Schizosaccharomyces pombe: one gene and its partners. The protein of the gene in region 1 binds, or shares a complex with, the protein of each later gene. Each region holds a gene or a part of one and is shown in the gene's direction. Other genes may lie near its edges. The genes, in order: rpa43, rpa49, rpa2 and rpa12.

Evidence for each region.
Region 2: rpa43 (region 1) and rpa49 share a complex: the UniProt entries of both Schizosaccharomyces pombe proteins name them as parts of the RNA polymerase I (Pol I) complex.
Region 3: rpa43 (region 1) and rpa2 share a complex: the UniProt entries of both Schizosaccharomyces pombe proteins name them as parts of the RNA polymerase I (Pol I) complex.
Region 4: rpa43 (region 1) and rpa12 share a complex: the UniProt entries of both Schizosaccharomyces pombe proteins name them as parts of the RNA polymerase I (Pol I) complex.

What each region holds. Positions count from the first base shown.
Region 1 is NC_003423.3:3,999,791-4,004,831, reverse strand, and holds rpa43 (DNA-directed RNA polymerase I complex subunit Rpa43), read left to right. Parts: upstream 1-3,588; 5' UTR 3,589-3,601; coding exon 3,602-3,869; exon of another isoform or gene 3,870-3,975; coding exon 3,976-4,174; exon of another isoform or gene 4,175-4,240; coding exon 4,241-4,295; 3' UTR 4,296-4,365; downstream 4,366-5,041. Other genes in the region: ESCRT II complex subunit Vps36, read right to left, coding at 117-1,520; mnh1 (protein mago nashi), read left to right, coding at 2,179-2,204, 2,251-2,288, 2,341-2,367, 2,440-2,493, 2,545-2,608, 2,651-2,738, 2,808-2,954. UniProt on the Schizosaccharomyces pombe protein: DNA-dependent RNA polymerase catalyzes the transcription of DNA into RNA using the four ribonucleoside triphosphates as substrates. Component of RNA polymerase I which synthesizes ribosomal RNA precursors.
Region 2 is NC_003424.3:3,924,057-3,929,895, reverse strand, and holds rpa49 (DNA-directed RNA polymerase I complex subunit Rpa49), read left to right. Parts: upstream 1-2,616; 5' UTR 2,617-2,635; coding exon 2,636-3,913; 3' UTR 3,914-4,363; downstream 4,364-5,839. Other genes in the region: SPOM_SPAC2F3.05C (xylose and arabinose reductase), read left to right, coding at 260-1,087; single-strand DNA-binding protein Rim1, read left to right, coding at 1,579-1,927, 2,012-2,115; sec67 (translocation subcomplex subunit Sec72), read right to left, coding at 4,565-5,143; U6 snRNP-associated protein Lsm6, read left to right, coding at 5,817-5,839. UniProt on the Schizosaccharomyces pombe protein: DNA-dependent RNA polymerase catalyzes the transcription of DNA into RNA using the four ribonucleoside triphosphates as substrates. Component of RNA polymerase I which synthesizes ribosomal RNA precursors.
Region 3 is NC_003423.3:2,005,820-2,013,985, forward strand, and holds rpa2 (DNA-directed RNA polymerase I complex subunit Rpa2), read left to right. Parts: upstream 1-2,266; 5' UTR 2,267-2,299; coding exon 2,300-5,824; 3' UTR 5,825-6,136; downstream 6,137-8,166. Other genes in the region: mtm1 (Mn(2+) ion transporter), read left to right, coding at 149-1,156; alp5 (Ino80, NuA4 and Swr1 complex actin-like protein Arp4), read left to right, coding at 7,243-8,166. UniProt on the Schizosaccharomyces pombe protein: DNA-dependent RNA polymerase catalyzes the transcription of DNA into RNA using the four ribonucleoside triphosphates as substrates. Second largest core component of RNA polymerase I which synthesizes ribosomal RNA precursors.
Region 4 is NC_003421.2:1,038,493-1,041,516, forward strand, and holds rpa12 (DNA-directed RNA polymerase complex I TFIIS subunit Rpa12), read left to right. Parts: upstream 1-1,607; 5' UTR 1,608-1,640; coding exon 1,641-1,865; exon of another isoform or gene 1,866-2,110; coding exon 2,111-2,245; 3' UTR 2,246-2,524; downstream 2,525-3,024. Other genes in the region: Ino80 complex subunit Iec3, read left to right, coding at 2,882-3,021. UniProt on the Schizosaccharomyces pombe protein: DNA-dependent RNA polymerase catalyzes the transcription of DNA into RNA using the four ribonucleoside triphosphates as substrates. Component of RNA polymerase I which synthesizes ribosomal RNA precursors. Required for growth at higher temperatures.

The sequences.
Region 1 (5,041 bases):
CCATAACAGGTAGTCATATTAATTAAGGCGTGTGTAGAGAGGAATCTACTAAAGCGAAAGAAAAATACAATGTTAAAAGGAATGAATATTAATTAGATAGTGTACAGTTATTATTCCTATGATTCATCAAACCATTTAGTCAATTCTTCTGATAATTCGTCAAATTCGTTTTTCCAGTATAGTAAGCTAGAACCAGATTCTTCATAAACATCACGTACAATGTAACCGTCCATCTCAGCTTGATAAAGTCTTTCTAACGTTACACCAATGGACCAATGCAACCTCATTGCACATTTCAAAGCCGTAGTGCTAGGATTCATAACTTCCAATATAGCGGACAAAAGTTTTCCTGAATGATTAGAAGTTTTTAATTGAAAAAGGATAAGCCCAGAGTTCATTTTGGACGTTGTTATACCAACCTCCATGGAATCTATTAGTTCACAAGCCTTCACAAATCTGGTCGGAGGAATCAGGTTTGCTTTTCTTGACCGATTATAGATGGCCCAAGCCTGGGTCATGGTAACCGTATCGGTATCAGCTTTTAACCTTGTGCGTAAAACTTCTGAGATACTTTTACATAGTTCAATATCATACAATCGAGAATTAGCCGAAACAGGAACATTATCTAAATGATTTCCTCGTAACACTCCTAACTGATTCGATTTGTTTAAAAGCTGCTGTACCTTGTCAGACTGTTGAGTGCCGGTCAGCCCATCCATCTTTTCAGCAAATTGGTCAGCCAGAGACATAGTATCTTTCGCTAAAGAAAAAAAAGCATCTAAATCTTGAAACGCATGTACTAAGGTACGTCCATTTTTGGCTAATTGCATCTCATGAGATTGCTCAAGATCATGAATACCACCCATTCGCAAAGACTTTTCAAGGATGGCCTTCCTCAGAACTTTAGTATCATATTTATTCGAGTATCTTTGTTTTTCTATTTCATCTGTTTCAGATTTGATAGCTTCGTAAAACTTGGATGAACCCGAGCCTCTAAACGAGAGTTGTATAAGCTGGTTTCTATCGACATTTTTTAATTGATTGCCGCAAATTTCACAAGTATTCAGATCCGGATAATTTTGAAAAGTACACGCGGTGCATAATCCTTGAGAAAAACGCGCATCTGATTTCGGCTTTATAATAGTAAATCGGTTAGCAACTCCACAGTTTCTACAAGGATTAATGGGATCACCCACATTGATAAATGTACAAATTTTGCAAGCCCATGACTTTTCCACATGTCGCAGAGAAAGGCGAATTTTTGGGGAGGAGCGAAAATACCTAGAGGTATGCTGTACATCTCTTATATCGGAGATTTTAATTTTTAATGAATTCTTTTTAGGATCTACTGAATCTACGTAGAAGATGTGTTTTTTTGTCAAATATAATGTTCCATTATTATGACGAAAACTTTTCTCATCTCCGAAGTATAAACCTACCTGGTCTTGAACTAGCAAAATTTCTTCTGAAGGATCCAAAACCGGTAGATTAGAAGGGGTTGTTTCTAAATAAAAGGCCATATTAGAAGGAGAGATTAACCAAAATGATAATTGTCAAGTGAATTAAAACTTATATAACATGTCATGTGCCTTGGTTAACTAGTCGAGACCAACAATTGATTTGAGATAATCTGTGAGTACGACTTTCGCTTTATTTAGCTACCTTTAAAAAAAATATTTTTGGATGACAGCTGTGAATGTCGATATATAAATAACATAAATGAAGCCTGTCAAAAGCTCGATTTAATATGTTACAATAAAAAAATCAAACCGTAGTCTTAATAAAAAACAACCCAAGGATCACAAACTAGCGATAAAAGATGCAACAGTGCCAGAATAACTTTTGTAAATGCAGTGAAATAAGTCGTGGAACGTTAAAAGGTCCCAGAAAAATAACTTGTCAAGATTTAACCTGAATTTGGAAAAAGCCTTTAAGGAATTAAAAGACTTTGATTTACAGATATAGACTTAGCAGTCAATATATAATGTCAACGAATTCATCAAAGATACACTGTATATTGAATTACCCACGAACTTTGATTGTCGAGCTCCAAAAATTGGATGCACTAGTGTATTGTGTTATTTAAAATAGTGAATCACTATATGCTTCGTATCTTTGACCAAGAGTTTACCTCTCAGCAGTAGTCATCGAAGCCATCATATTCCTATTTGCTCGAAAATGAGTGATTTTTATGTTCGATACTAGTATGCAAAAAAGCTGTAAATAGTTTTGAATGCTAACTGACTGAAGCTCGGGACACCATGGTCGATTCGGACACGAGTTCTTGGGTACGCGATAATATTAGACGCAAGGTCGCGCAGCTAACCAAACATTTGCTAGAATTCGATTATCATAGTGATGGGCTAGGTATGAATAGAGTCAACAATTTTCTGATTCATATTAGCAACAGTGGTTTGACATGAATACTAATTCAATTAGCTAGATACGCAAACAATTCTAACTATCGGAACGATTCGTTAATCCGAAAGGAGAGTATGTTTTAGTACTACATTTCTGTTCGATCGTATTAACAAAGCCTTAAAGTGTTCGTCAGTGAGCTTGTTTTAAAAGAAGTTCAACGTATTGTAGATGACAGTGAGATCATAAAGCAAGTCATTTCTTTCAATTTTTTATACTAACTACTATTTAGAGAATCAGATGAAAGTTGGCCACCTGAAAATAAAGATGGTAAGCAGGAACTTGAAATTCGTATGAATGGAAAACACATCATGTTTGAAGTAAGATTGCTCTTCATTTGGCATAAATATATTCATTCTAGATACTTTTAAGCTAATATAAACTACTAGACCTGTAAACTTGGAAGTTTGGCAGACGTTCAAAATAGTGATGATCCAGAAGGGCTAAAAGTTTTCTACTACCTAATTCAAGATTTAAAAGCATTGTGCTTTAGTCTCATCTCCCTAAATTTTAAGCTCCGACCTGTTAAAAACTAGATGCATTCCATTTTCTTATATATTAGGGCGAAAAAGTTTTATGTGAAACATTGGTTTACTATTTGGGTTTGATTACCTTTGTTTCGTTTCTAAATGTACAGTCTCAAAGCTGAAAAACGTTCGAGCTTTAGGAAGGAATTTCAGTTTTTATGCTAAATTAACCGTATTGCACTTTTAATTCCATATCATAAGCGGTTAAGAATTGACTATTTATTTGGGAACATCTTAGAATATGGCAACCATTCCATGGTAGTCGCGTTACAAAATCTTTTTTTCAATAAGATATCAAAAAAATCTTGAAATAATTTTAGCTATATTAAATAGACACTATTTGTATAGTAATGAGCGATTCACTTATTTTGTCTCAATAATATTCTTCATTTAAATAAGAGAAAAAAAAGGTAAAGTATTTCTTATTGTAATTAAAAAAAAAATTTCAATGTCTTGAGCACTGTAGTGACATGGTGTCATTTACAGAATTGGCATTTCTATTGATGCCATAGTATCGCCTATTTAGCTGTTAACCTTTCTCGAAGACATGATATGTTATATATGACCTTGGTTGATCAATTGAAGAGCTTTGTTTACCCTTGAACATATCTGTAAAACTGGATGCAGTCGATGAAGGAAATTTGCGTTCCGCCAACATGCCGGATTTATCACTCTACAAACAGACTGTAGATTTATACCTTTCCATTGCTCCTGGACACAGCAGGGATCCTTTAAATGCTATTCAGGAGCATATGGATAGTATGATTCTTAGCAAACTCCCAAGAATCAATGGAATAGTGTTGGCGTACGACAATATTCGATTCCTGGAAAAAAGTGCAAAGGTCATGTATGACTCCCCATTCTCCTTTATATGGGTCCGTGTAGACGTTTTAGTATTTTCTCCCAAAAAAGGCGATTGTTTAGGTATGAAATGCTTAGAAATTCGAGATTCTATGATGGATTTGTATCATGATAATTCAGTCGTGCAAAATTTTATACCAACTCCAAAATAAATGCTAACTATCACTAGAAGGAAAAATTAATTTAGTCAGTCCAAGTCATATTGGTCTATTAATTTTGGGTATTTTTAATGCATCTATTCCGCGAAAATCTATACCTAAAGATTGGATTTTTATTGAGCCCGATACTACGGAAGAACAAGGTCGTTGGAAGACAAATGATGGAAATATTCTGGAGCCTGGTAAAGATTTGGAGTTTGTAGTAGATGGGTATGTCGTAAACTATATACTGTTTTAACTAAAGTTTGATTAAATTATGACTAACAGTTAATCTAGTATACAAAGAGAAGCTGGGTTGACTATGGTTCAAGGGACGCTAGCAAATTCATAATAAGTATTTATATTCAAAATACAAAAGGATTGGTTACTTATGATTATGGATATTTGCCTAAGAAATTCCGGTTTATAGAATCGCGCTAAAACTAAACAGTAAGTTATTTTGAAGCGGTGTGTATGTACTTTCAATTGTATGATTTTATAAAAGTAGGCAATTGTTGATTTAAGCTTAAGGAATGAAATGAATGATAATTCATAGTTATCTTTTTTCTAGACTTTTGATTTCATCTAGTGATACTCTCATTTTCAATTTGTTGCATATAGACATTGAATGCTTTCCACAACCCAAGCGTTTGGAACTATTTATTTATAAATTCGACAGTTTAATATAACTTATGGACAGCCAGTTAGCCTGCAATTTATTGACAAAATAATTGGTTAAAATCTTCAAAAAGCACTATTTGATTTAATACGTCAGGTGAAGGATTAATATCTTCTTTAAATAAATCGAGATCTACTTATAACACATCAATGCTTAGACAAATAAGCTTAAGTTTTATTACCACGTTTGTTTTTCTGTATTTTAATAATAACATCAATAATAAAATTTTTTCAATTATCTCAAATTGATCATTAAGCAATATGAATTAATTTGATCACTTTAGAGTGCAATAAATAATTTCAGACAATTTAGATACGCTAATTAACACTGATCTCCGTACTGCCCGGTTTTGATCATTGCTACTGAGTAATTATTGTAGTTATTCTTTTAAAAATTGCAATTTGAAATGTGATACTTGT
Region 2 (5,839 bases), on another chromosome or scaffold:
CATGGTATAAATAGTACTGTGTTGTTCGCATGTCGGGTTAGCAATACCATTTTAGTGAAAAGAATTTATAACGTTCTTTTCTTTGGTAGTTGAAAATATTGAATATTTCAAAAATACTCAATAGCATTGAAAAACAGCTTGGTTATATTCAATTTTGCTGAATCTCGTTGATTGCTTAATTGAATAATTATCAATTTCCTCGTTCATTAATTTTTGACTTTTTTCTTTTAATTTAATTTTATTTTTTTGTTCATACATTATGTTGGGATCATTTGTTAAGTTAAACAATGGACTTAAGTGCCCTCAATTTGCTTACGGTTCTTACATGGTGAATCGTACAAAATGCTTCGATTCGGTGTATGCTGCCCTTCAATGCGGATATCGACACATCGATTCGGCTCAGATGTATCACAACGAGGCTGACTGTGGAAGAGCCATCCTTAAGTTCATGGAAGAGACTGGTACGAAACGAGAGGATATTTGGTTCACTAGCAAGCTTAATGATTTAAGTGGGTACAAATCTACTTTGAGCAGTATTGATGCCAGTGTTAAGGCATGTGGCCTTGGCTATATTGATCTGTTTCTTCTTCACTCTCCCTATGGTGATCGTATTGAATCATGGAAGGCGTTGGAGAAAGGTGTTGAAGAGGGAAAACTTCGTGCTATCGGCGTTTCCAACTTTGGTCCTCATCACATCCAGGAATTGTTGGACAGCCATCCAAAGATTATACCATGTGTCAATCAAATCGAACTTCACCCTTTTTGCTCCCAACAAAAAGTCGTCGATTACTGTGAATCCAAGGGTATCCAACTTGCTGCCTACGCTCCTCTTGTTCATGGTGAAAAGTTTGGCAACAAGCAACTTCTCGCCATTGCTAGCAAGTATAACAAGTCTGAGGCTCAAATCATGATTAGATACTGTCTACAGCGTGGATTCATTGTACTTCCCAAGAGTTCTACTCCCAGGAGGATCAAAGAGAATGGCGACGTTTTCGATTTCGAAATATCTAAAGAGGATATGGAGAAGCTCTACAACTTGGATGAGGATTATCATTCGGATTGGAACCCATGCGTTTCCCCTTTATAATATGTTAAATGATCGTCTTGTAAGAGCAGAGAATGCATTTTATTATTTATTTCCTCTGCTATCCCTAGATATGCTAGTATGATAGAATTTACGAAACTCAATTTATGTCAGCTTATATACCAAACATGCATCCAATGACTGTTAGTATGAATTAGTATGAATCCGATATTACTTTTATCATATACGATCATAGATTAGAAAATTCGTATTACTTCCATTGATTTGTAAATGCTAGCATAATGTATCGTAAACTTATTAGAAACCTAAAGTACCTCATGGAAATGGCTCATTTTGGGTAGAAATATATTCAGACTCTTTACTATGTAGCTAATTAAAAGCAAATTCTACCCTAACTTTGGTTTTATCAATTCACACACTTCTCCAAGTACTTTTCGCTTCGTATATGCGACGTATGCGCACTTCACTCATCCACAACACCACACAATAAGACTCCATTAATTGCTTTCCTGTGAGCTCAAGGTACTAAAAACATGCTATTCTTAAAATCCAGCAGAGCATTTTCCAAACGACTGTTTTCTTCATCGACTGTTCGTTATAGAGATATTCAACGTTTGACATTGACTGGCAATTTAACAAAAGACGTTGAGCGTTTGCAGTCTCAAAAAGGAAACGAATATATGCGTTATACTGTAGCTTCCAATAATGGAAAAGACGTAGCCCCTACCTTTCACTCGGTTTATGTTTTCGATAGTTACAATTTCGACAGACTTCAAACTATTTTAAGGAAGGGAACGCGTGTTTATGTGGAGGCCGATGCTGTTTGGCGTTCCGTCCCAGCTGGAAATGAAGGATCTCAAGCGAAAATGAGCCTGCGACATGGTACGCAACATTGCAATGGTCCAAGTTGAAGCCTGAAGCAAAATTTGAAAACAGAATATAGTATTTACTAACCTCTCTTATTAGTATCTGCAGACGTTTTATTTTATCCTCGTAACAAAAATGGCGATGAATCCGGAGAAGAGACTCATCCTGAATTAGACGCAGATCCTATGATTAACAGCTTCTAAAATTCGTGTTTCTAGTTTAAAAATTTTCTGCACTTTAGACCGTTAATATATTTGGGTGGTATTTTTCTAGGGATTATTGAGTTTAAAAAGTCTCCTAATTCATTTTCTCTGCATTATGCACATACTTGGTATTGCTATGTATTTTTCATTTGATGTTTATTTCATTATTCCGCTGGAAATAATCTACCCATGGCTCTTCTGATTTGTTTTTATAGACAATAATGTCTCTGCTGTAATGTTTTCATTGCGTTCTAGGAATTACTTAGTCACCTTTACTCCTTCTTTTTCAAAGTGACAAATTTGTTAGTCCTTTACAGTAAATTAATAATCATTTTTTTTTATTTTAAAGTGTACTCTACGATTTGTAATATTCAGTTTCTTTAATTCTTTTCATTTAATGACTGATCCTCAAACTTCGTTAAGTTAGATTTCGCAGCCTCTGTGACTGTACACTACACTTCGTCAAACAAGCAAAGCTCTTTAAGCGCTAGCATTTTTACCAACAGCATCCACTATTGGAATGGCAGGTGACGAGTTAAAGGGCAAGAAGCGGAAATATAGAGATTCCCATTCCGGTGATGAAAAATCCGTTAAGATATTGCCTTTGAGTGAATCGAGTTTACCACCACTTGTCACGACAATTTCCGGATTTTATCCACCCGAAAATACCCGGTTCCAGCTTCTCAAAAAGAGCAATCAGAGCAACAGAGATGCGTCGTTAATTGGAAGGACAGAGCGTGTTCAATTTGAGGCTAAAAATCAATCAACGGCTACGGTTGAGGCAAATTACTGTTTAGCTGTTGCTGATAAAACTGGTCGTGTAAAAAAGATTGTTCCAGCAAAGTATCTTAATACTTTTGAAAGAAATATTTTGGCACTTCAGGAGAAGGACAAATTTTTGAAAAAGAAGCATGGAACTGTAAGCGGTACTGTTATGGAACAGCGTGCCAACTTGGGTTTGGCATTTGGTACAAGAAAAAGTCAAAAAGCTATTATGGAAGAGTCCGCCAATCGTGTCAAAGCTGAAACTTTGGGAGATGTCAAGGATCAATTGGTTAGTAATGTTCAAAAAGCTACTGAAGCACTTCCAACGCAAGAAGATATCGCTGCTGCTCAAGCGCAAGATCGCCCTATTCCTCCTGTCAATGTCGGTGCTGAATCCATTGAAGATGCATACAAATTGGAGGACATTATTCCCAAAGAAGAGTTTTCAGCTATTTACATTAAGCCTCTGTTAGAAAACCCTGACGAGCGCAATTGGGCCAAATTATTGCCGTACCGTCACTCCTTGTTTATTAATGAACGCTTCCAGCGATTACTTTCCATTGAGGAGGTTGACCAGAAGCGGGCGAGAATTTTGTATTACATTTCTCTTTTGCAAGCTTTTTTGTTTTCTCGTCGTTCTGTGGGCAACCGTGAAACTTTACGTAAAAAATTGGCTGATCCACCAGAGATTCTTATTGATGGGTTGATTAAACGTTTTACTCAAACCACCGGTATTGGTAGCGTCCAAGTATCATCTCGAGAAGTTGATAAAATCATATGTTATATTCTGGTATTGTGCTTAATCGTTGATAATTACTCAACTGATGTTCTTACCTTGGCAAATGACTTGAATGTCAAGACCATGAAGGCTAATGAGCTTTTTAGAACGGTGGGTTGTCGAATTATGGCTTACACCGAAACTCAAAGAATGGCTTTAGGTCTTAACAAAACTGATGCTAAAAATCATAAGCGTGCAGTATTAAAAATTCCCCTAGAGTTCCCTAAACCTCGACGTGGACGCGCTAGAAATTAGAGAAAAGTACAGCGTTGTTTATTTTCAAAAAAATGTGTGTGTGTTTTTTTAAAAAAAAAGAAGGACGGTATATATAGAAGAAACAACTACTGAAGTTCGTGATGTTCGATATCTCCACTGCTTATAATTGTTTTGGACGTCAAAGCGACATTGAGATATCCAAATAAAGTACCAACAAATTTTCAGAAACTTCTTATGGGAATACGGGATTAAAGGTGTTTTTTTATTATAGTGGAAGTACAGAAAATAATAAAATTTTGCATTGTATAATACTTTTGCTATAAGGCAAAGAAGGGTGACTTAGATGGTAACTAACTTTCAAGCAAAAAAGTTACCGTTTTACTCAATAAATCCTTTGGAAAGTTATAACATTGTTGTTTGACTATAGGGTAACAAATGACAATCGAAACTTAGATTCATGTTCAAAACCACCGTATTTATGATGTGCTAGGGGATGGTCTTTTGTATACAGTAATTGCTACAATCACCTGAGCATTAAATGAATTGGCAATAATATCAAGTTAGTATTAATTTTGAAATGGATTAATTATGTGGCCGTAAGTGTTTATGGTAATATGAAACAACACAAAGAAAGGAAATAAAAGGAGCGTGCAAATCCAATGATCATTTGAAACCATGATACAGTTGGTTTTAATCTTTTTCAGTATAACTTGCCCATAAAGCCACCAACTCGTTTCTCGTAACTGGCTCTGCCAAAATTAAACCGTCTCGTACAACCTGTTTAGCCTCTTCTATGCGATGCATTGCCTCCAAAGCCTTTGCTTTCCTATAATAACACTTTCCATAATTATTTCGAATTTTCAAAGCAGCATTTGCATCTGCTAAAGCTTCGGGGAATTGGGAAAGGGCAATCTCAGCAGCCGCCCGATTACACAACATAACACTTGCTTCTTCACGCGTAAGAATCGACGGTTCCCAAGTACAGCGATTCAAAGCGAGTTGTAATGCTAATCCATATAACTTTTTTGCCTCCTCATACTTTTTGCGTTTAAATGCCTCGTTTGCAGTTTGCTTCATCTTATTAACTTGGGTAGACAAGGCCATATTTGGCTTAGCAGGAGGATAGGGAGGTGGAATAAAAAAAGGATATTTAAACGTAGCTAATGACTTGGCGTATTCATTAACCTTTTTGCCCAACTCCAATTCCTTCCCACTCCATTTTGACACATCAACTTGAGGTGCAACCACCGATTCTTGTTTAGCAACCATCGAAGCAAAGTTTTAAAAGAAGAAGTAGTGAAGCTGCTCTTAATGTAAAGCACAAAGCTCGGATGGATTATTATGTACAAATAATTTAGAGAAGACAAGCAATGTTCAATGCAAGTAGTAAACTTGAAAGTGTTAGCAGAACGTGTCACAATACTTTAACACACATAAATACTAACTACGCAGTTTGTTATTTAATTTTAACGATGTGTAGAACTGCAATGAGCTTTATGATCTATTATATTGCAATATTGCAAAAAGCAGGTAATACAAGTAGCAACCGAGGACATATATAATATTTTATGTACGATCTATTGTTACCTATCATTAATATAGCTTTAACTAAACTGAGGAACGAGATTCAGCTGTACCTCTATTTATAATTGTTCTAAAGGGTGTTTTTAATAAAATTTATTTAGTTAGCGGATAGTTACCCATAATTATTAATAACCAGATCTCAACTGATATTCCAACATATCACATATAGTGATACGCAACGAAGTGTATATTAAAGTAGTGTAGTCTTGCACGGTATACATTTTTGCACATAATGCTATTCTTCATTATATGCAAGAGCACCCTGAACTGAGGTTACCAATGTAGTTGGTGTCTACTTCAATTTACGACTCACAGAAAACCCTTCAAAGGCTGAATTCTCTAAACCAACTGGAAGATAATGGATTCTTCTCCTAATGAGTT
Region 3 (8,166 bases), 2.0 Mb from region 1:
TATTAAGACAGAACTCTCAGACCAGATATATGATAGTGCATTGCATAACGTTATTTGGTTTAATGAAGTTTAACTACGACTTCGTAGATGAAAGGACGGTGCTTCGTAATGAAGATGACAGGAACACAAACAGAGTCAGAGAGAATACATGCAGATAGGAGCTGCGACAGAAGGCGTAGAAGCTGACTTGTCGGTGAATGCTGAGCCCGATGTGAAGCCTATAGCGAAAATGCTGTCAGCTTGTGTAGGAAGTGTAATTACAACGCTGACTGTAACGCCTTTAGATGTTGTGAAAACCCGCTTGCAGAGTGAATCTATTTCTCAATATTCTTCTACGCAACCCATTTCTTCAGCAAAGATATTGGGGAAGGGAAGGCCAGCTCCAAAGCCTTTAGGAGGCCCGGTATCCGGACTTTATCAGATCGCTCGGCATGAAGGTGTTAGAAGCTTGTGGCGTGGATTAGTTCCTTCATTGACAATGCTCTTGCCAGCAAACACTGTACAGTTTCTTGGGTATGAGCAATTACTTCCCTTATACAGTGATTGGGGCTTTCCTGCTGCTGCTGCAATCGCAGGAGCATCTGCGCGCACAATATCTGCTACTATTGTGTCTCCTATAGAATTATTCAGGACTCGAGTGCAAGCAGTAGGCGGCCATTATCCGCCCGGCCATGCGCGCGAGATTGCTAATGAGGTCTTTGATGGATTGAAATTAATGATTCATCAAAAAGGTATACTGAATTTATGGAGCGGTGTCAGCGTAACGTTGTGGAGAGATGTACCATTCAGTGCATTTTACTGGTGGTCGTATGAGAGAATTCGACTCTTCCTGCTTGGGCATCCATCACTTCAAGCATTTTCCAGCTCTCAATCTACAAAGGACCTCTATATCAATTTTGTGAGCGGAGGAATTAGTGGGACTCTAGCAACCCTATTAACTCAACCTTTCGATGTATCAAAAACTGCTAAGCAGGTGCATGGACATACGTTAACCAGAGGTCAGTTTATGTTAACCTTATGGAAGCGAGGTGGTCCCAAGGCCTTGTGGAAAGGCACGTTGCCTAGATGTGTTAAAGTTGCACCGTCCTGTGCAATCATGATTTCAAGTTATCATTTAACTAAAAAGTACTTTTCTGAGTCTGTTGATGCTTATTAATTTAGACGTTGATTTTCAGGTTTTGGTTGGCTTGATGAAACCTTTGTTCTTTTTTTTTCGGTTTAATGTTTTCATCTCTTTTCTTACAGGATTCCATTTATGTTGATAATTCCCCTCTCGCAACTCCATTTCTATTTGTAGTCTATATGTTTACTATAATACAGGATTCAAAAATGCAAATCGAAAGAGTCTTGAAAGTAAAATAGGTTGGGTTAATTTACGAAGCGTAGAAACTAAAAATTAATATTTTTTAATTTCTGATATTAGTCTCTAAAATAAAGCCATAGTAGAACAAGCTTGCTATGTTTTTACCAGACATTGAAGCTAATGCTTTCATTATATACCCATTGTTGTTCTTTTTAAAAGCTTTTTCAATGGTTGAGGATACATATATTTTATTCAATGTTTTTCTTTTCCGTTATTGAAAAGCAGAAACAGCTCGGGCCAAAAAGTTTAGATCTTTGAAGAAAGCGATTTTTAAAGTGGGAGCTTTTGTTATCCGTTTATTTTATATGAATTGACTAGACTAGAATCGTATATAACGAAATTATTTCTAAAATAAATATTGAAAGTGATAAAAAAAAGCCCTTTAACAAGATTTTTTTTAAGATACTAAGACAAAGCAAATTAAATATTTATTAGGTTTCATTCAACTGATCGGTGATATGAACTGTAACAGGGCAATGGTTACTTGTGTTTAAGCTTTTCTTCTTGAATTTACTGAGATAAGCAACAAGTAAGGACTTGCAGGAGACATTCTAAAATATCAATAAACAAATTCTTTATAGCTTCAATTGCGGTATAAATCAAATATTAGTAGCGTCGATCACCAACTTATCTGTCAGCGTACAGTGAGTACACTTTCGATAACACTTTACCTTTTCTATTACTCTTCAAAGACAATGGATAGTCGTTCATTAATAAAATCAAGCAAGAACACTACCCAAAAAGCGATTTACTATTAGAATTGAATTAGGCAGTGGAATGAACAACGCTATACTATTGCATATTCCGCACTTCAGCGCCTTAATGTTTAAACCATTTTACCGCTTTTCATTAAAGCTTGTTAAGTGTTCGCTTAACGCTCAATTTAGTATGAATATAGCAGGTGTCCTCCGCCAAAATTTTCTCTGCAAACCTGGGATGTCATTCCAAACGTTAGAGCGAGAAAGGACGTTTAAAAATCCGCCCAAGGACGGAACGAGCTTTCCAGATTTGCAAAAGGCCGTAAAACCTCATGTTGATTCCTTTAACGCCCTTACTAATGCCGGACTACTCAACTATGCTGTTAAGGAAATTGGTGAGAAATGTGCATTTGACTCGATCACACAAGAAGAAGGTGGTGCATTGAAATTTGGAAATAAGATTTCCTTCCGCGTTGATGAGGTTCAAATTGCGAAGCCAATGTTGTCTAGTCGTGAAAGGTCTTCTATTAACCGCAAAGTCTACCCTGCTGAAGCCAGAGAGCGTTTGACTACTTATAAATCAAGATTGGTTCTTAAATTCTCATGGAGTGTCAATGGAGGCCCTAGACAATCAGAAATGCGTGAAGTAGGCATGATTCCCATCATGGTACGGTCCAACAGATGTCATCTGGAAGGATTGTCTCCTGCCGAACTTATTGCTCATAAAGAGGAGAGCGAAGAGATGGGCGGTTACTTTATCGTTAACGGTATTGAGAAGTTGATTCGTATGTTAATTTTACCTAAGCGCAATCATCCTACTGCCATCATTCGCCCTTCTTTTGCCAATCGTGGTACTAGCTACTCACAGTATGGTTTATCTATTCGTTGTGTCCGTCCAGACCAGTCTAGTTTAACCAACACCCTTCATTATCTTAACAATGGTGTTACGATGTTTCGTTTTCACTGGCGTAAAAACGAATATTTAATTCCTTCGATGATGATTCTTAAGGCCCTGTTAGAAACCAGCGATAAAGAAATTTTTGAGGGCATTGTTGGTAAAGATTTGGGAAATACTTTCTTGACGGATCGTGTTGAGCTTATGCTTAGAGCTTATAAGTCCTATGGTCTTTACTCCCAAACTGAAACACTTCAGTATTTGGGTAGCAAATTTCGTGTTGTTCTCGGCGTTGCTGAAGACCTAACTGATGTTGAAGTTGGCCGCTTTCTCTTACAAAAGGTTGTTTTAGTTCACCTTCGTGAAGCTAAGGATAAATTCCGCCTTCTCCTATTTATGATCCGCAAGTTATATGCACTTGTAGCTGGAGAGTGCTGTGCCGATAACCCTGACTCTCCACAACATCAGGAAATTTTATTAGGTGGTTTTCTTTATGGTCAAATTCTTAAGGAGAAGATTGAGGATTGGCTAAATAGCATCCGCGCTCAAATTAATTTGGATGTTCGACGCTCAGCGCCTGGTGTTGATTTCTCCGATCGTAAATACTTGACCCGTGTCTTTTCTAAAATTAACAATGACATCGGAACGAAATTACAATATTTCTTGAGTACCGGTAACCTTGTTTCCAATACTGGTCTTGATTTACAACAAGCTACAGGTTACACTGTTGTCGCCGAGAAGTTGAACTTCTACCGCTTTCTTTCACATTTTCGAATGGTACACCGTGGTGCATTTTTTGCTGAGCTTAAAACTACTACTGTCCGTAAATTGCTTCCTGAAGCTTGGGGTTTCATGTGTCCAGTTCACACACCCGATGGTTCTCCATGTGGTCTTTTAAACCATTTGGCTAGAAAATGTGAAATTGTCACCCATCCTTCTGATGTAAGTCAAATCCCATCACTTTTGCTATCGTTGGGTGTTGATCCTCCAAGTGTAGTTGGTCATGAATCTGGTTGGGGATGCGTACAATTGGATGGAAAGATTGTTGGTTGGTGTACTTACAAACTTGCTAAGCACGTTGCTGATGTGCTACGTTTAATGAAAATTGAATATGCTGTCAAGTTGCGTAATGGAACTGCCACTGAACCTGCTAAGGTCCCTTTAGATTTGGAAATTGGATATGTGCCTCCGTCTCATAACGGGCAATATCCAGGTCTTTATCTGTTTAGCAATCCTGCAAGGATGGTTCGACCGGTTAAGCACATTTCTACTGGTGAACTTGATATGCTTGGTCCATTTGAGCAAGTTTACATGGATATTGCATGTTTCCCTAAAGAAATCGTTCCTAAAGTTTCTACTCATGTAGAGTATTCGCCCACAAATGTACTCTCCATCGTTGCCAATATGACTCCATTCTCAGACTTTAACCAGTCTCCTCGTAACATGTATCAATGTCAGATGGGTAAACAAACTATGGGTACGCCTGGTACGGCCCTTCGTTATCGTACTGACAACAAACTTTATCGTCTTCAAACAGGACAAACACCAGTTGTTCGTCCTAAGCTTCACAATACCTATGGCCTCGATCATTATCCAAATGGTACAAACGCTGTTGTTGCCGTTATCTCATACACTGGTTACGATATGGAAGATGCTATGATTTTGAATAAATCTGCTCATGAGCGTGGTTTTGGTTATGGTACTGTATATAAGGGTGAATCTTTTGACCTTTCCCAAAAGCGTCGCAGAGGTGAACCAGTCGTTCACCATTTTGGTTTTGCTCCCGGTTCAACGCCTCGTCGCGAATGGTTGCAAAAGTTAGACGCCGACGGGTTACCTTTTATTGGAATTAAACTTGAGGATGGAGATCCCATTGTCGCTTACTATGATGAATCTACTGGTCAAAATTTTATTGAAACCTATCACGGTACTGAGCCTGGTTTTGTTGACGAAGTTAGACTCCTTGGTAATGATGTTGGTGATTCCGAGTGTCAGCAAATTCATGTTAAGCTTCGTATTACCCGTAGTCCGATTATTGGTGACAAATTTTCCTCTAGACATGGACAAAAGGGTATTTGTTCACAAAAGTGGCCCACTGTCGATATGCCGTTTACAGAAAGCGGAATGCAACCTGATATCATTATTAATCCTCATGCGTTCCCCTCTCGTATGACAATTGGTATGTTTATTGAAAGTTTAGCTGGTAAAGCTGGCGCCTGCCATGGCTTGGCTCAAGACAGCACACCCTTTATCTATTCTGAGCAGCAAACTGCTGCTGACTACTTTGGCGAACAATTGGTTAAGGCTGGTTACAACTATCATGGAAACGAGCCTATGTATAGTGGTATCACAGGACAGGAGATGAAGGCTGATATTTATATTGGAGTTGTCTACTATCAACGTCTTCGCCATATGGTTAGTGATAAATTTCAAGTACGTACAACCGGACCCATTCATAATCTTACTCGTCAACCCGTCAAAGGTCGCAAACGTGCTGGTGGTATTCGTTTCGGTGAAATGGAACGTGATGCTGTTATCGGTCATGGCACATCGTTCTTGATGCAGGATCGTTTAATGAATTGTTCTGATTATGCCCAGAGCTGGGTTTGTCGAGATTGTGGGTCTATTATTTCTATCATGTCTACAATTTCGATGAATGGCGTAGGAAGTGCCTCAGAAGTCAGGTGCAGAAGCTGTGCCAAACCCGCTTTGGGATTGGAAGATACCAGTGACATTTGGCAGGATGGTAGCGGAAAGAAATTTGTCGGCGGCACAAATACTACGTTGATCGCATTACCCAGTGTTTTCAATTACTTGACGGCGGAACTTACTGCTATGAATATTAAAATGATGCTTGAAGTTAAATAGATTAAAGTGTTGAAAAGAGTATTGAAATTAATATATTCGCTTTCAACTTCTTTAAAAAAAATTTTTTTAAAAGGACTGACAAAATGCCATGGGTGATGTGTGTATTTTCAGTTCCATTTGATTCTGTTTTCTTTCGCAACAGGTTTCTGATTTTTGCTTCGGATTACGTTTTGCATATAAAATTACTTATTGTTTTGGGGGAAGAGTTAATAAAAAAACTTATATAGAAAACTATAAAGGTAGGTCTAGGTGGACTAATAATAAATTGATTGATTTTTATCTTTTTGATTAAGAAGCGGCTAAGACATAATTGACAAGAAAAAGTTTATTATTAGATGTCTTTTTGCTTTAAATTGTATTATATATTGGTTAATAGATACTTGATACCAAAGAGTGATCGAATGTTCAAAGAAGCAGATTAATCAGAGGTTGAGATCTGATGCAAATTCGTGAGCACACATTCGTATGGAGAAAAGAGAATTGATATCTTATAATTTTAAGAACAGCTCAACTACAGAAAATCTATGCACTCAATTATAAAAAATACCTATTCGCATGGTTCACATTTAAGAGCAGCATAATGACGAATTACAGAAACCCACGCTAAATTGTATTTTGTGCTTCATTATACTATATTAGATAACCGATATTTAGTATAGTGTGTAAGCTACGCAGTTTGGTATCTGATTTAAGGATACGTAGAACTGCGGTGAGTTTTCCTTGTGATCTATTATATTACAATACACAGGTTGTATGAGTAGCAACTGAGTATAGGTATTGTATTAACTGGGTTATAATGTTACCTATCACTAATATAGCTCATAACTGAACTGAGGAACGAGGTTCGGCTGTAACGCTATTTCGGCAACCGATATTAATAGACTTCATATAACAATAAATATACATTGTTAGTTAACATACTGCATACCGCTATATTGTAAGTCGTAAGAGAAACTCACCGTAATTCTATGTATCGTTAAATATATACCAAACTGCGTAGCTGACTATAGCAAAAAACTCAAAAAATCACTAAATGAATTTGTTTATTAGGAGCATAATAATTATCTTTTCAACTATTGTGGATTTCTTGTACAATTGTTTTTTTTTGTGCTATGAGCCCAATCTTTCATATGAATGCTTATTTTTGAAAACCTAGTTTACTTGACGCGTCTATTAAAAGCTTGAAAATTAGCGACATTCTCGTTGCATGAATGCTTAAAGAATGCACACTTTTCTAAATGAAAGTCTTATTTTTAATTAATTAAACCAACTAAATAAAATAGGAAAGAGTGATGGGTATTTTTAAGAAAAGCCGTTGGCGACCTATTTCATGATCTCAACGATGCGTCTTGTCCAAGTGCCAACGACAACTTTTGCCTGAGAATCTTATCACGTAGACAAACTGTACTGCTGGTAAGATGACTAGCGCATTTTATGGCGGAGATGAAGTTTCAGCTATTGTAATTGATCCTGGAAGCAAATGGACTCGAATAGGTTTTTCTGGAGAAGATATTCCCAAATGCGTACTCCCTAGCTACTGTGGAGAGTTCAGTGATGGCAGACGGTTGTTCGGTGAGGAATACATATATAAATCAAACCCTGGAATGGAAATAAAAAATGCAATTCGTAATGGTTGGGTTGAAAATTGGGATGTTACTGTAGATCTCTGGCGTTATGGATTAGAGCAGCAGTTGAAGACTAATCCTTTAGAGCATCCAATCTTGATTACGGAACCATTTGATAATCCCCCAGAAAATCGAGTGAAAACACTAGAAACGATGTTTGAATCTTTGCGTTGTCCTGCAACATACCTCGCCAAGCAGGAGACGTGTGCGGCGTTTGCAAGCGGGAAAGGTACTGCTTGTTTAGTAGACATTGGTGCGGAGCGTAGCTCGGTGTCTGCTATATATGATGGTTTTGTGCTTCAAAAAGGCTATCAGGTTCAACATTTTTCTGGGAATGCAATTAACGATATTTTGGCGCAAACTCTCAGGGATAAGAATTTCGAAGTGATGCCTAAGTACTTAGTGAAAAGCAAAAATCCAGTGGAGATAGGGCAGCCAGCTAATTGTGAGTTACGTCCTCGTGATACTACAGATTCTTATCATCAATTTCAGGTCCAGCGAGTCTACGATGAATGGAAAGAAGAATGTGCTCTCATTTCCGATGTTCCATTTTCATCTGAAACCACGATTGCTGAATCAGAGTTCGAATTTCCAGACGGTTCCCGTATGATGTTTGGCGCGGAACGCTATCAAATTCCTGAACATTTGTTTGTGCCAGGAAGTGATGAAGAAATGAACGAGGAACCTTCGAAGCCAATAGAACAAACCGAAAATAAT
Region 4 (3,024 bases), on another chromosome or scaffold:
CATGGTTACGTATAACTATACTAAAGCAGTGGTACTCCATCCTTATGCAACAATTCTACAAATGGAAATTTTACAAGACACAGATTTTAACGTACTTTTAAAGTATCTTACCTTTATTTAGATACGCTTAAAATCTCTAACCTTTTTTATCATCCTTTTTCTTTACCAAACTGGTTTACTTGTTTCTTTCCTTGGCAAAAACCGAGCTACGCAATGATCGGCAAAGTAAATATCCATTTTCACCGACAAGATATGGTACTCACTAAGTAATTTCCATTATGTAGCAACAATAACTCTTCCTATACATTTTTGTTGCCTACAATCCCATAGACTATGTCACGTTGCACTCTTCCAAAAAGGACTACCCCAGAAAGAGAGAGAGATATGAGGAAAAAAATTTTTGCTTCTAAATAACTAGAGCAAACAAGTCCCACTGTTGTCAATCGTCGGGTACAGCACAATAATCTCACTAGTAAAAACATGCCATATTCATCTCTGTTTTACCAAAATAGAAAATCAACCTTACATTGCATAATATAGGAATACGGAAGCGAGCCCTATACAGATGGACTGGGTTATGGCGGTTATAGACAAAGGCGCTTTCAAAACCATAATGGATTTGAAACGCTCAAGTAGTGGAAAACACATAATAGTAAGTATAATGCCAAATCCTTTGTAGAAAATACACAGACCTTTTTATTGAAATCGTGAATATGATTCTTTTTTTTTTGGTGATCTCTTTTCTTATTAATGCTATATCTTTTGAATTTATTTGTTTTTTCTTTTATTTAGTAGTATTTTTTTTGCATTTTGTTATTTATCTGTTCGCTTTTCTGTTGTACATGTAATAGTTGCAACGTACAGACAAATTAAATTTTTATTATTCTTATATTTTTTATTATTTCCAAGCTTATCACATAAATTACGATTAAAATACCTAAAGTGCAAAATATGATTTCCAAATTGATGATTCAATCAAGCAAAATAATTTTCTTTTGAGATAAGGAAGAATTTGTTAAATAATCAAAAGCACAATTTATAAGGTACAACGATTTTGAAAGTCGCTAGTATATATGTACACAAATCTTGTTCTGTATTCCGTGACAGGCTTTGTATTTGAACAAAGTATTGCCCAGCTAGACAAAAATCGTTTGGGCAACAAAATTTTAAAGTAGCAAGAAATAGCTTCAAACAATTAGTTGATGCTTGAAAAAATACAAAGAAATTTTTCTTACCGAATTTTTTCCAGAAACAACGATACAATACTTATATAGGTGAAATTTCCCGAGAAAGCTTTTTAAATTCCCCAACTTGGAATTCCAAGGTTGATTTATCAATAAGTAATTTCTTTACAAAAACGAATGATTTTTAAATGTCTGTAATTTATGCCTTTAGCATAATGTTCATCAATAGATCAGGAAATTCGTTTACTCATCTCTAGCTTATTGTTTACTAATTAAGGCACTATACTGATCATAGTCGCTCACAGTGTGTATTGGCTTTTACGATAATGATACACTCGCTTTTCCATCACTTACCGCAAAATAATGAGTTACAGCGAAAGAAAATTGCACTTGTCAAAGACAAACTAGCTTGTCATAAACACCAGTGCCTTCCCCATCAAGCAAGGAGGAATCCCAATGTCGGCAATAGGGTCTTTGATATTTTGCTCAGAATGCGGTAACTTGTTGGAATCGACTACTGCCCAATGGACTACTTGTGATCAGTGTCAATCCGTTTATCCTTCTGAGCAATTTGCCAATTTGGTAGTGGAAACGAAGAGTAGTGCAAGTGCTTTTCCTTCTGCTTTAAAACTCAAGCACAGTATCGTTCAAGTAGAATCTCAGAAGGAGGAGGCAGCAACGGTATGTAACTTATTTTTGTCTATTCTTTTCGAATCCTTTTTTTCATGTTGGTTGTCATTCTTCTTTCCTTTTAGGCTTTGTATCATTTGGAAAACTTTTTTTTTTTTAAGAATGCATTAGGAGAGTCTAATCAAGGAACTTTTTTGTATCATATATCCAGTGAATTGAAAAATCGGCACAGTCAGGCAAAGGACTTTATCATAGTCCTTTTTTGGGTTTATTGCCATACTAACAAAGTTTTGTAGATTGAGGAAAAATGTCCAAAATGTGGAAACGACCATATGACTTTCCATACTTTGCAATTGAGGTCTGCTGATGAAGGTTCTACGGTGTTTTACGAATGTCCTCGATGTGCTTATAAATTTAGTACAAACAATTAGATTGAGTTTTCATCTGTTAATCATTCTTTTGGTTGTGATTTTCTCAATATTTCACTGTTTCTTACGCCGTTCTTCATGTATGTATGCTGACTGATTTGTATGAAGACTATTGTTTTTAATATCTTCGATTGTCCTTCTGCTTCCGTTATTTTCATGCTCGATAAATTTTATTTGTCTAGTAATACGGCAACGTTCATGAAATAGAAAGAGATGCTCTTGATATCCGATTTTCTTGTTTTGTCTTCTATTTTATCCAGGTGTTAAAAAAAATAACAGTTCTTCTGTTCTTGTTGGTTCTATTTTTCGGGGTTACTTTTTGTTTAAAAAATAATATGGTATAACTTATTCCTTTATTCATTATTGTCTTTCCTGGTTCAAACTAAATAGAGAAAATTCATTGTCTATCACGATTGAACCTGTGGATACTTCCTTTCTCAGAATTTTTAAAGAGTTTGAGTTTCAATGTTTATCAGCATTTTATGAATAGTAGTATATCGGTTATTTATTTCTTTTTCTCTAATATGGAAATGAATGTGTAACGAAATGGAGCGTACTATGTACCGTAACACTCAAGAGCCCAAATGGGCAGGTAGGTGTTCAACCATTTGAAATATATTCTCACCTGCCTTTTCACATATGGCGTCTGTTAAATCCTTTAAACGAAAATATTTAAAACTTCGAAAGTCATTTGATTCGGTAGTCCTTGAAACAGAGGAAATTGAACAAAAGATTGCTGAAATATCAGAAGTTTATCGCAGAATTTTATTAGAAAATGCGTA